Arabidopsis thaliana: one gene and its partners. The protein of the gene in region 2 interacts with the protein of the main gene of each other region in a pairwise test. Each region holds a gene or a part of one and is shown on either strand. Other genes may lie near its edges.

The links.
Region 1: the proteins of CPUORF7 (region 2) and BNQ2 interact in a two-hybrid assay, tested with the Arabidopsis thaliana proteins (one large-scale study listed by BioGRID).
Region 3: the proteins of CPUORF7 (region 2) and KDR interact in a two-hybrid assay, tested with the Arabidopsis thaliana proteins (one large-scale study listed by BioGRID).

The regions. Positions count from the first base shown.
Region 1 is NC_003076.8:4,920,705-4,924,454, forward strand, and holds BNQ2 (BANQUO 2), read right to left. Parts: upstream 2,109-3,750; 5' UTR 1,850-2,108; coding exon 1,721-1,849; intron 939-1,720; coding exon 783-938; 3' UTR 539-782; downstream 1-538.
Region 2 is NC_003071.7:13,337,375-13,341,136, forward strand, and holds the start of CPUORF7 (transcription factor bHLH155-like protein), read left to right. Parts: upstream 1-1,712; 5' UTR 1,713-2,055; coding exon of another isoform or gene 2,056-2,152; 5' UTR 2,153-2,303; coding exon 2,304-2,401; intron 2,402-2,698; coding exon 2,699-2,818; intron 2,819-3,010; coding exon 3,011-3,092; intron 3,093-3,166; coding exon 3,167-3,208; intron 3,209-3,331; coding exon 3,332-3,391; intron 3,392-3,521; coding exon 3,522-3,641; intron 3,642-3,762. UniProt on the Arabidopsis thaliana protein: Transcription factor that may regulate root development.
Region 3 is NC_003070.9:9,349,519-9,353,280, forward strand, and holds KDR (basic helix-loop-helix (bHLH) DNA-binding superfamily protein), read left to right. Parts: upstream 1-1,641; 5' UTR 1,642-2,052; coding exon 2,053-2,181; intron 2,182-2,800; coding exon 2,801-2,956; 3' UTR 2,957-3,315; downstream 3,316-3,762. UniProt on the Arabidopsis thaliana protein: Atypical and probable non DNA-binding bHLH transcription factor that regulates light-mediated responses in day light conditions by binding and inhibiting the activity of the bHLH transcription factor HFR1, a critical regulator of light signaling and shade avoidance.

The DNA of each region.
Region 1 (3,750 bases), on a different chromosome or scaffold from region 2:
ACGCATGTTTAAACTTCATATACCTGTTTTCTAAACCTTCAAATATTTTAGGGAATTTTATACAGATATATATATATATATATATGTAAAATTATTGTAGGTAATTAAATACTAAATTTTATAGCAAACTAGTGTAAATGTTATCTTTATTATCAAATATAATGCACGATGGGTCTGTTTTCAAAAACATTTGTTGGATTTTTTATTTTTTTTAATATGTGAGAAGCTAATAAATATAGATTTTGTTTCATTCTGTAGTTTGTAATTTGTAACAATGTATAGTGGTATAATGGTTGAGATATTATTTTTTATGTGAGTCTGGTAGGTTTGAGTCATCCTATTACGTTTTCATGCAAAATTGATAATCATGTACGCTTTAAATGATAGTATTAATCAACTTTTCTATCTATTTCGAAGATAAGTCTAAATTAACTTTGAAATTAATTAACCTCTTGGGTGCCATATATACTTATATAGTATATCCATTTGTATAACGCATTAACACACATACAAATGGACACACTTACAATATAATATAAAAGGATTTAAATTAAATAATTACTCGAAATCTTATTTATTATAATTTTTAAGCTTAATGGAATTGCATGCATGACGTTAAACCAAAAAAGGGTCAAAATATGAACCCTAACTAGATAGGATTGTAAATAATATATAAGAAACATAAAATAGATATATAATTATGCAACACCCTGATGGATCAACCTCCCAACGAGATTTTAAGCTTATATATATAAAGCACAACTAATCAATTTATATCTTAATTATCCATTAATCAAGCTCCTAATAACTGCGGCTTGTGGGCTATTAGGATCAATGGATTCCAGAAGCTGAGTCAATCGATCACTGAGGTCATCGGCTTCCTTGTTCAAGTTTCTTATGTAGTTGCAAGTCTCTTGTAACACTTTCGACGCTGATACCTACAAACAATTTTCACAATTGTACATTTTATAGTAAGGATTCAATATAAATATTCAAACAAGTCTTAGCTTGCTTTAACAACAACAGAAACAAGTCTTAGCTTGAAGTTATGATGCGTGTTAATAATGTAAGAAAATATATTGACGCTAGTTGCTTGACATACTACACTATGCATAGGTTAAAAGTTAAACCTAAAGCTTAAGATAAAATGCCCATACTTTATCAAAAAAATAAAAATGCTCATAACTTAACCAACACATTGTTTTGAAATTGAGAACAAATCTGATTGGTTGTGTGTACTATAAGAAAACGATGCTTCCATTTATAGAAACCAGCTTTTTCTTATTTTTCTAGAGTTCGTACTTTTCTTGTTATATAGAAACTAAGAAAACCAAATATAAAAATTAGTCGGTGCTGTACATAAATGTATTGAATTGATGGTCCGTGAAGCAATATAGTCGTCTCACATTCAATGTAGTTAATCAATAATAAAAGTAAAATTAACTAGAAGCTTAATGCTGAAGTTAGGGAAAATATGTTCCCCTCTCCTCAAAGTCCGGTTAATGGTCAAAAGTAATTTTAGAAACTTCAAAATGCAGTCTCCCACACGTACTTCTATGACTATAATGCACTATTCTAACATGTTGTATACTTGTATATGCGTGATTCTCTATTAAACATAATAGCTAACCCTAAATAAATATCATCAAAGTAAAACTTATGTGACTATGCCAAAACCTTGGTACATAGAAGAAACACAGTAACTTTTGAAAAGATTTACCGTGTTGGAACGACGGTTCTGGCGAATCTCCGGAATGGACTGTCGGAGCTTTGAGATGAGATCAGTGATCTGGTCATCGCTAATTCTTGATGATGAGCTTGCTTGTCTCGACCTTCTGCTAGAAGACATGTTTGATTTGAAAAAATATTCTTATATATATGTGAATCCAAGAAAAGGCTTTCTTCTCTTGATGGCTTTGTTTGTGCTTGTCGAAAGAAAGGGAGAAGAAAGAAGGAGAAGAAATGGTGTTATATAGAGAGCTAGGACCACTTCTAGATAGAGAGAGAGAGAGAGAGCGAGAGTAATACAAATAATCTTAAATAGGGGTGTTGGATATGCCGATGACAAGTGCACAAGAGAGAACAGTGGTTTAGAATTGGAGTCTTGGATACATGACACGTGAATTTACAAATTTATCAGATCGTGATGTATATATGTGTCTAATATTACTATTATTTGATGATTAATTTAAAGTTGATTTATAAAAAACTAGAGAAAAAGATACATAAGACAAAAAAAAAGTCTGTCTAACTTTTATCTATTTACTTTAAAAAAAGACAGCATATTTATCAACAATAAATACACCGAAGATAGATATATATCTTCTATTTTCTTATATTCAGAAAAAAAAAAACCATCTTCTTCTCTTTTGAAAATTACATTAATCCAAAGTCTCCAACAAAATCTTGCTTTTCCTAAAAAGTTTCAAAAACTTTAGTAGAACTTAGTATCTATTACTGGAAATCTTTTTGCAATAATTTGTATTATGTACATTTAAAATCTTCTTATTATATTATTATATGAGTATTATAAGTATTGTCGATATTATAATGCTATTATATTTTTAATATTGTAGTATTTCAATGATGTAAATCTTTTCAAAGATTTATTTTTTGTTAATTAGTAACATTATAATATCTGTTATTTTTCGTCAATTAGGAATTCGCAAATGAATATCTAGATTGACAGAAAATACCAAACAATACTTTCACTTGGATACATTGATAATTTATCTCAAAACTTATAATTATTCTAGTCATTAAAATCTTTATATATATTGAGGTGAGACTTTGTGATAATCAGCTATAGTAGTTACAGTTCCTTAATAGCATGTCCTAGCTTTGCTTGAGCCTTGAGGTACGGTGAGAGTTTGTGAGAATGTATCATTATTTTTTAAGACCAAACGACAACTATCCAAAAGCTCGACTAATATGTCTTGTTAGATATGCTATGATCAAAGAGAAACTAATTTTTCAAGTGGGAAACGATTCTGATTTCAAGTACTGAAACAATGCAACATTAAAATATCACCACTCTATTTATCTTATTATACAAGCTAGTGTAAAGCTTGTCTATATACTCAAGATATACCTATATGAGTATATCATTATTTTATGATCGTTGTGATGCGTAAAACCAAGAAGATTTTGTGGTTCAGTTATATAGATACGGGTAAACAAAAACAATGGACTTAGGTCAATTTGAGGGAACGTACGGTATCTATCCTAGCCAATAGGGAGGGGCTAGTCTTACACTTTTAGTCCAAGCTCGATCACGTGTACCTCAATTGATAGTGTATATGCTTACGATATTTATTTATATGTAATGCCTAAGTGGAATTTCATCAATTGTCGAACCCAATATCTTTGAGCACTTGTTCTAAAAAACTTAGACAGGTGATTTCCAACTAACATTCGTCAATATGTAATTTTGTACAAATACTTTAATTTTAATTGTATCAGTGAGTTTCAATTTTTATTTAGGATTTATATAAATACTACATGGTAATGTTGTTTTGGTCATAAATAACAACAAACCATTTGCTAGATCTAAACACGTGATGATGATGATGAAGATGATGATATATGCAAAAGATATGAATGAATGATGATTAGTAGATGTATGATATGTATTAGAAAACAAGGAGATGGTGTGATAAATTGGACATTAAAGAAAAATGTTTGCTGATGAGCACACAAAGGTGGGACTATTTATGTTTTAATATTTTGAAGTTATAAATAAGAACCAGT
Region 2 (3,762 bases):
TAATATCGATCTAAACCCGTCAATTCTAGGATTTTTCAGCTTATATTAAAAATTGAATCACATCTAATATGTTATTAACTATTGTAATATATAAGATTATAAATTTTCAATATAATATGTATGAAATTGAATATGAATATTTCAAATTTATGTCCCCTTACTCAGTAGAAAGTTTTCTTAAATCTATTTTTCACCCGTTATAATATTATTTCATGTATTGAACAGTTTATATTTGTTTTTAAAAATTCAAATTATGGCATATGCGAAAAAACTCTAATTATTTTTTTATAATGATGATATTATTTTTCCGTATAAATAGAATCATATAAAGATGAGAAGTGAACTATAATAATTAATAAAAAATTAATATGATAATTTAGATACCAAATATAGTTTGTTGATTTTAATTGGTTACTTTTTTAGAAATTAATAATCTATTTCGTTTTTCTAATTAAATTAAATTAATTAAATTTAGATATCAAATCTTATATGTTGATTTTGATTGGCTATTATTTTTGGAAATTAATATTGTATTTCGTTTTTTAATTAATTTAATTAATTAAATTAGTATTTGACTTTTTAATCCTTAAAGAGATAAATTAATTTACTTTTTAAAATTTTATTTCTAATGGCATACCTATGTAATTACTTACAAAAATTAAGGTTATATTTAAAATGTACTTCCCAAATAATATAGTAGGATTGTCACTACGACTACGAGGGACACTTGCTAAATTTTCGGAATATTTTATCTTATGAATTAGAAGGAAAATTATTATGGAAGTTGTAATAAAACATGTACAACATTTTAAATATCATAGGTTTTTTATTACAAAAGTATTATATTTTAATAGTATATGGGAAAAACAATTGTCTCTTCAAAATTTATTCAAAATAAAAAAAAAATTAAACTATAGACGAATGAGCCTCGAAAACGCAATTCCTCAAACATTTTTTTTTACAATCTTATCCACCAACGTATGAGTCAAATCAAACAAATAGACACCTTAAAGTAAAGTATATACATAGTTCACTAATATTTTTGCTAGACGGTTAACCTCTTTATACATATACGAGATTCGAATTATCTACTCTGTAGATAAAATATATGATACAAACTTATCAAGAAAGACAATTGGGTTCGACTCACAAACTCTTGCCTTTAAGAATCCTACCACTAATTCCGCAGCTCTAGCCTCATCACTCTCTTCTCCCATGGGATATACAATTCATAGTAGACTTCCTACAACTTCGGTAAACGAGCCGAGTATACAATGTTTAGCGCACAATTTCCGCGGGAAATACAAAAAAGATTGTGATGTTAATGTGATGAATTTGTAATTAAACACACGATAAATTAGTGCAATGTGTAAAATATTTTATAAATTTGTGAGTAATGGGTAAAAAAAAAAGTAAAGAAGGAAGCAAAGTTCAGTTGGTGAATCATTTTGCTGGCCATTACTCTATAAGAGAGAGAGATCCTATCTCCATAAAATCCCATACCCTCAAACACACACACACTCACCATCCCACTAACTCGAATAGTTAACATGCGCACACCGATCCTTGGCCTTTCGTTGCTAAAATGAGCATGGTGCGTGATTCACCCGCTTACTTGCTCGATTTCTCCTTCACCCTTTTAAAAAGGAACGTCTTTTAGCTTACCTCTGCCTCCTTTACCCTCTCTCTCTCTCTATCTCTATCTCTGTTCTTTCCTTTTTCCGGCGAATTTCTGGGCTGAGATTGTTAGTGTCTCTGAGTGATGCAGAGATCAACTGTTGTAGTTAATCAATATCTTCTGACATAAGCTAAACTCGATTCTTTCTTACAATCTCTCTGTCTCTCTCTGCTTCCTTTTCTACTGTCTTCTTTCTTCTTCTCTAGCTTTTGAATTTTCAATATTGATTTCTCCCATGGCGAGTAGCAGTTGCAGCAGATCTATCTCTGTTTCAAATTCTGATTCTCTCGGTGTTTTTTGTTTGAGCTAGGGCTAAATTAGTTTCCTTCTTGGGTTTTTATTCGTAATCCGATTCAAAGTTTGTATCTTTGGGAGGGATGGGTAAGAGGCAAATATCACAAGATGAAGTAGGTCCGCCCATAAAACCAAGAGCTGGTTTACGAAGGGAACAAGCTGGAAGAGGTTCTTACAGAGGTAGTTAGTTACTTTGTATCTCATCGAAAACGAATCAAAAGAAGCTTCTTTTTTTTTTTATTAGAGGTTGGGGAGGAGATAGTATAAAACAACTGTTTAGAGTTCTGATTTGTGGTTTTTGAGTCCGGGGTTTTGAGGTTTACCCTTTAGAATGGGTTCTACTTCTCAAGAGATACTGAAGAGCTTTTGCTTTAACACGGACTGGGACTATGCTGTGTTCTGGCAACTTAATCATCGAGGATCTCGAATGTGAGTCATCTAAACAATTCTCTTTACTGTCTTTGCGTGGTGGATCATTATAATTGTCTACGAGTTAGAACTGTGGTAATTGATTTAGGTGTATTGACTTCAACTTGCTAGAGTGGAAATATGGAACCTTATATCGAAATGCAGCAGCTTTAAGTTAACAATTGTAGTTTAAGTGTCTGAAGATTGTTTCTGTACTTTTAAGTTTTGTGTGCAGTTCAGGATTCTATTTCTTTATATGTTTTAGTGTTTTAGTTGACCAGATAGTTTCTCAATTTTTTGAATAATGAACACCTGTAGGGTACTTACCTTGGAGGATGCTTACTATGACCATCATGGGACGAATATGCATGGAGCACATGACCCCCTTGGGTTAGCTGTGGCAAAGATGTCTTATCATGTCTATTCTCTAGGGGAAGGGTAAGAATATATTGCTCTGATTCACTCTTATCATGCCTATAGTTTGATGTGCCCTTTTTCCTTCTTTTTTTATTTGACAGTAGCCACATAATGCAAAGCTTTTGTTGTGTCCTTGAGCTTGATGTTAGCTTTTACAATAGTTAACAATCTTGGGTCTATTGTTGAATTATGTTATCATATCTATATAAACAGGATTGTAGGACAAGTTGCAGTTTCTGGAGAACACCAATGGGTATTTCCCGAAAATTATAACAACTGTAACTCAGCATTTGAGGTTAGGGACTTTCTATCTGAAATTAAATTTGTTTTCTTCGTGTTTTTAAACCAAATGTCTTTTTTTAATTACAGTTTCATAACGTTTGGGAAAGTCAAATTTCTGCTGGAATTAAGGTATTTGGATTTTTCTTTAGTGCTCTTTCTGTCTGCTTTATTATACATACTTGTCAAGAACATCCTCAAAGTTTGCCACTGGAGACTTTCCTTTTTAAAATATCTATTCTTCCTTCTCCGCAGACCATTCTTGTAGTAGCTGTTGGTCCATGTGGAGTTGTTCAGCTAGGCTCTTTGTGTAAAGTAAGTAAGATCTTAAAATTGGATGCGGTGTTCGCAGTTACAAAATAATAGCCAGGAAGAACACCTGCACACTTATAATAGATGGCACATATATACATATCTGGTCTTATTTTGTATTTGTTTGGAGCAGGTTAATGAAGATGTGAATTTTGTGAATCATATCCGACATTTATTTCTGGCACTTAGGGATCCATTGGCAGACCATGCAGCAAATTTAAGGCAATGTAATATGAACAATTCGTTATGTCTGGTAAAGATCTTCTTCATTCAAATATGGATTCATGTTTTTTCTAGATTTCTTGTTATTTGCAAAATGGGGAGAGTAAAGTGCTTAGGGTTCTTCTAACAGTTACTCAAACCTCCACTGACTT
Region 3 (3,762 bases), on a different chromosome or scaffold from region 2:
CTGTAAACAATGACAGCAACGATGGCAAATAAATAAAGTATTCAGAAGTTAAAATACACACATATATATAGATCAAGACCTATATCTTGTTGACAACGAAAACAAAGAAAGAAGATTAATAGATCAAATCCGAGTTAAAGCAAACATCTACCACATAATAAATGCAATGCAAAATCAACGAACTGAATCCAATCGACAATCAAATGCCTATCTCTGCATCTACCACATGCTACGTACTCAAAATCAGATTTTTATGGAAGGTATTAAAAAAATCAGAGTTGTCAACTGTAATTACATCCAAAACATGATCCGTAATTTGGCTTCAACATTTTTTGGTGTTTTCTTGTACCATATGTCCTACACTCTTTTCATGATATAGACCACCACACTAAAGAAAAATAATAATTAATCTTATAAATGACAGTGATTTTTTTTCTTTTCACGATCATGTATAGGATAACAATCATATTATTTTCAAAAATATTTGGATGTTACATTACATCAAAGGTCAAACATGGATGTGTGAAGAACAAACTTATACATGTTCCAAAACCATTGAATTTCCAAAAAAAATCAATGTAAAAGTTTGAAAGATACAAAAAAAATGGTAAAAAAGAGAGAAGTGATTAAAAAAAGGGACAATGAAGTAATACATATAACGTGGGGATGCAATGGTGGTACTGACAGAGAGAGAAGGCAAAGAGGGACAGTTTAGTTTGGCGATAAACACACATTTTGCCATTTTAAACCCCACTTGATCCCTCTTCTCCTTTCCATGGCCCTCCCCTCCTTTTCTACGTCCCTTTCCCAATTCTTATTTTAATTCTTTGTTTTTTTCTACTTGGATGCGTTGAGCCAAAAATGTTGCAATGAATTAATTCTACTTGGCCCGATTTTGGAAAGCTCTGTAGCTTTGTGGACTGACTTTGATTTGGTTTTGATTTCAGAGAGTGCGGATCAATCCATTGTTATACGTGTTTGGATTTTTTTTTGGGTTTAGCCAAAATCGAACCGAGTGACTTGACTTAAGCATAGTTGTATTTTTTATTATATATATTTTTTTTGGTCCCATCACTAGTCACTGAAAACCTCTACAATATCCCTTAAGATAGGTTCTAATCGTCGTATCATACGACTCGTATGAGACGATACAAACACTCTTTGGTAAAGTATCACTATTGGTTTAGCACTGGATCTTAGTTATTTGATACCCTTTCTATTTAGTTTCAAAATTTGAATTCTCCATGTCACATTCATTATACAAACGTTTTTTGTTGAACAAATTTTACATTCATTCATAAAAACAAAAGAATACATTATCACAAAACATATATAATAAGATAAATTATTAAATAGAATTTTTTTAAAATAGACATACAATAAGACTAGTCGTCTGATATAGACTCTGCACATTATACGGACTTACATTTGTAAACTCCATCAACTCTTATCCATCTATTGTTTAGTCATGTTCAATATTGAGAAAAATTAAAGGAAATTAACATGTAGCCTTTAAATTTTCAATAAAGGTCGTTAAGTTGAAGACTTGAAGTTGATACTACACCATGTGAATAGCTCGAAAGAAAGAAGGTTAAGTGGAACAGGAATAAGAGAAAGAGAGCAAGGAAAAAAACTTGACGTGGGTGAGTTTTACACATATAACAATCAAGAAGTTGTTCTCGTGGGAAAGTAAGTTTAGAAGCTTACCAAAAATAAACAGTATCTTTTTGTACTAAGCGACTATGAAAAAAACTGAGAACAAATAATAATAAATATTTGAAAGCTAAAGACACCCTTATTAAAGAAACATAACCCACACCCTCCCTCCATGCACTTGTCTCTTCTCCTTCTTATTCTTCTTCTTCTTCTTCTTGATCTTCTCTCTCTTCATAAATTTGCATTATAAAAACACATCCACTTTGCTCCTCCCTCTTCAACACCTTCTTCTCCACTCTCATTCTCTCTTTCTGACACATTAACTACTTATCCTTCTTGCATTCTTCTCTCTCTCTACACCCAAACAAACACACTTATAATATATCAAGAAAGAAGATGTCTAGCAGAAGATCATCACGTTCAAGACAGTCAGGAAGCTCAAGAATCTCTGACGATCAGATTTCCGATCTTGTTTCTAAGCTCCAACACCTCATCCCTGAACTTCGCCGCCGCCGTTCTGACAAGGTATACACTTCAAAATAACAAATTTTAATCTATCTTTCTTGCATATACATACTTATTTTGTATACTTGTATAACTTAGCCTGCACATGGACTTAGAAAGTTCAAATGAATAGGAACCATATAGTATATAATAACTAATTAATATGCATGGTGAAATCCAACGGCGTGTAGACATGTGGCCTACAATTAACTATACGTAGATAAAGTAACATTAATTCACAGCCTCATTTATGCATATATCTTGTTTGTTCTTTGAATGTTTTTTTGCAATTAAATTTTACAAGTTGGTGGTGTGGGACTCAGTTTGTTCCCTTCCTACTTCCACGTACCTTAACTACATGTCTCCCCATTACTCTTCTCTACCTATATACTCACCATAATTCTATATATAGCTGAGGAATATGATAAATAAATTGTGGCCGTTTATACCGTTGTGCACATTGAAGTGGCAATCATGAGAAAAAACTAAAGTTCTGTTAAAAGTTTGAAGATATATATGAAATTGTTACAAAGAAAGAAAAAAGGCAGTAGCACATGTTGTCACGTACTCTTTGTAAGGGATATAATGATCGTTTTTTGTACTTTAAAACTAATTGTAAAATGTTTAAACTATTGGACAGGTGTCAGCATCTAAGGTACTACAAGAGACTTGCAACTACATCAGGAACTTACACAGAGAGGTTGATGACCTCAGTGACCGTTTGTCGGAACTCTTGGCTTCGACGGACGACAACAGCGCCGAAGCAGCCATCATTAGGAGCTTGCTTAATTATTAAATCCGCATTACTTAATCTGAGAGCTATTAATCATCCGTTTCCGGCCACCAAATTTATCTTATTATGGGTATCGTCTGTTTACTTCTACATCATATATTATGAGATATAGCTAGGGTTTCGGGTCATTGTTAGGCCAACTCATATATTTATATTTAATATATGGTTATGTATGTATGTATGCATGTTAATTGTATCTGAGGGTCCAGACCTGGCGTATAGTAGCCTGTGTATCATGAGATCCTCTAATATTTATGATTAATGACACGGTCCGTTTCCTTTTTTACTATACTGATCTACTGTTATAAGTTTCGTTTATCATATCTTTTTCTATAATTAACAAGCTGAGGAGATTATCGGTGTATGCTCGAAATTTCTTAGTTGAAGAAATTAAGAACAATATATGTGTATGCCAAATAAATAAGTTATACTTGGAAGTATGTCAATACAATTTTATCAAAAAAAATAAAATGGTATGTATATACAATTTAAAAACGTGGAGAAGTTGTGTCTGAATTTAAATTGTTTAAAATATGATAGAAACAGACGAAGACCTCGATGTTTTCGAAGTCGTTTAGTTTGGATTATCTGTTTTTTAATGTTATCTGTAGTATATGGTATGGTCGTGCCATTTTATTTAAATCCTCTTGCATGTGATCATTAATGTGTTATCTTCGTCGTGTATATTATAACACGTATTGACTCGATAATTACGGTATTAGTGTGGTGTTATTAATGGAGTAGATAATTTATGATTACGTGTTAAAAGTAAAATGTATTGGGATATAAGGTTACATACCTTTTCTTTG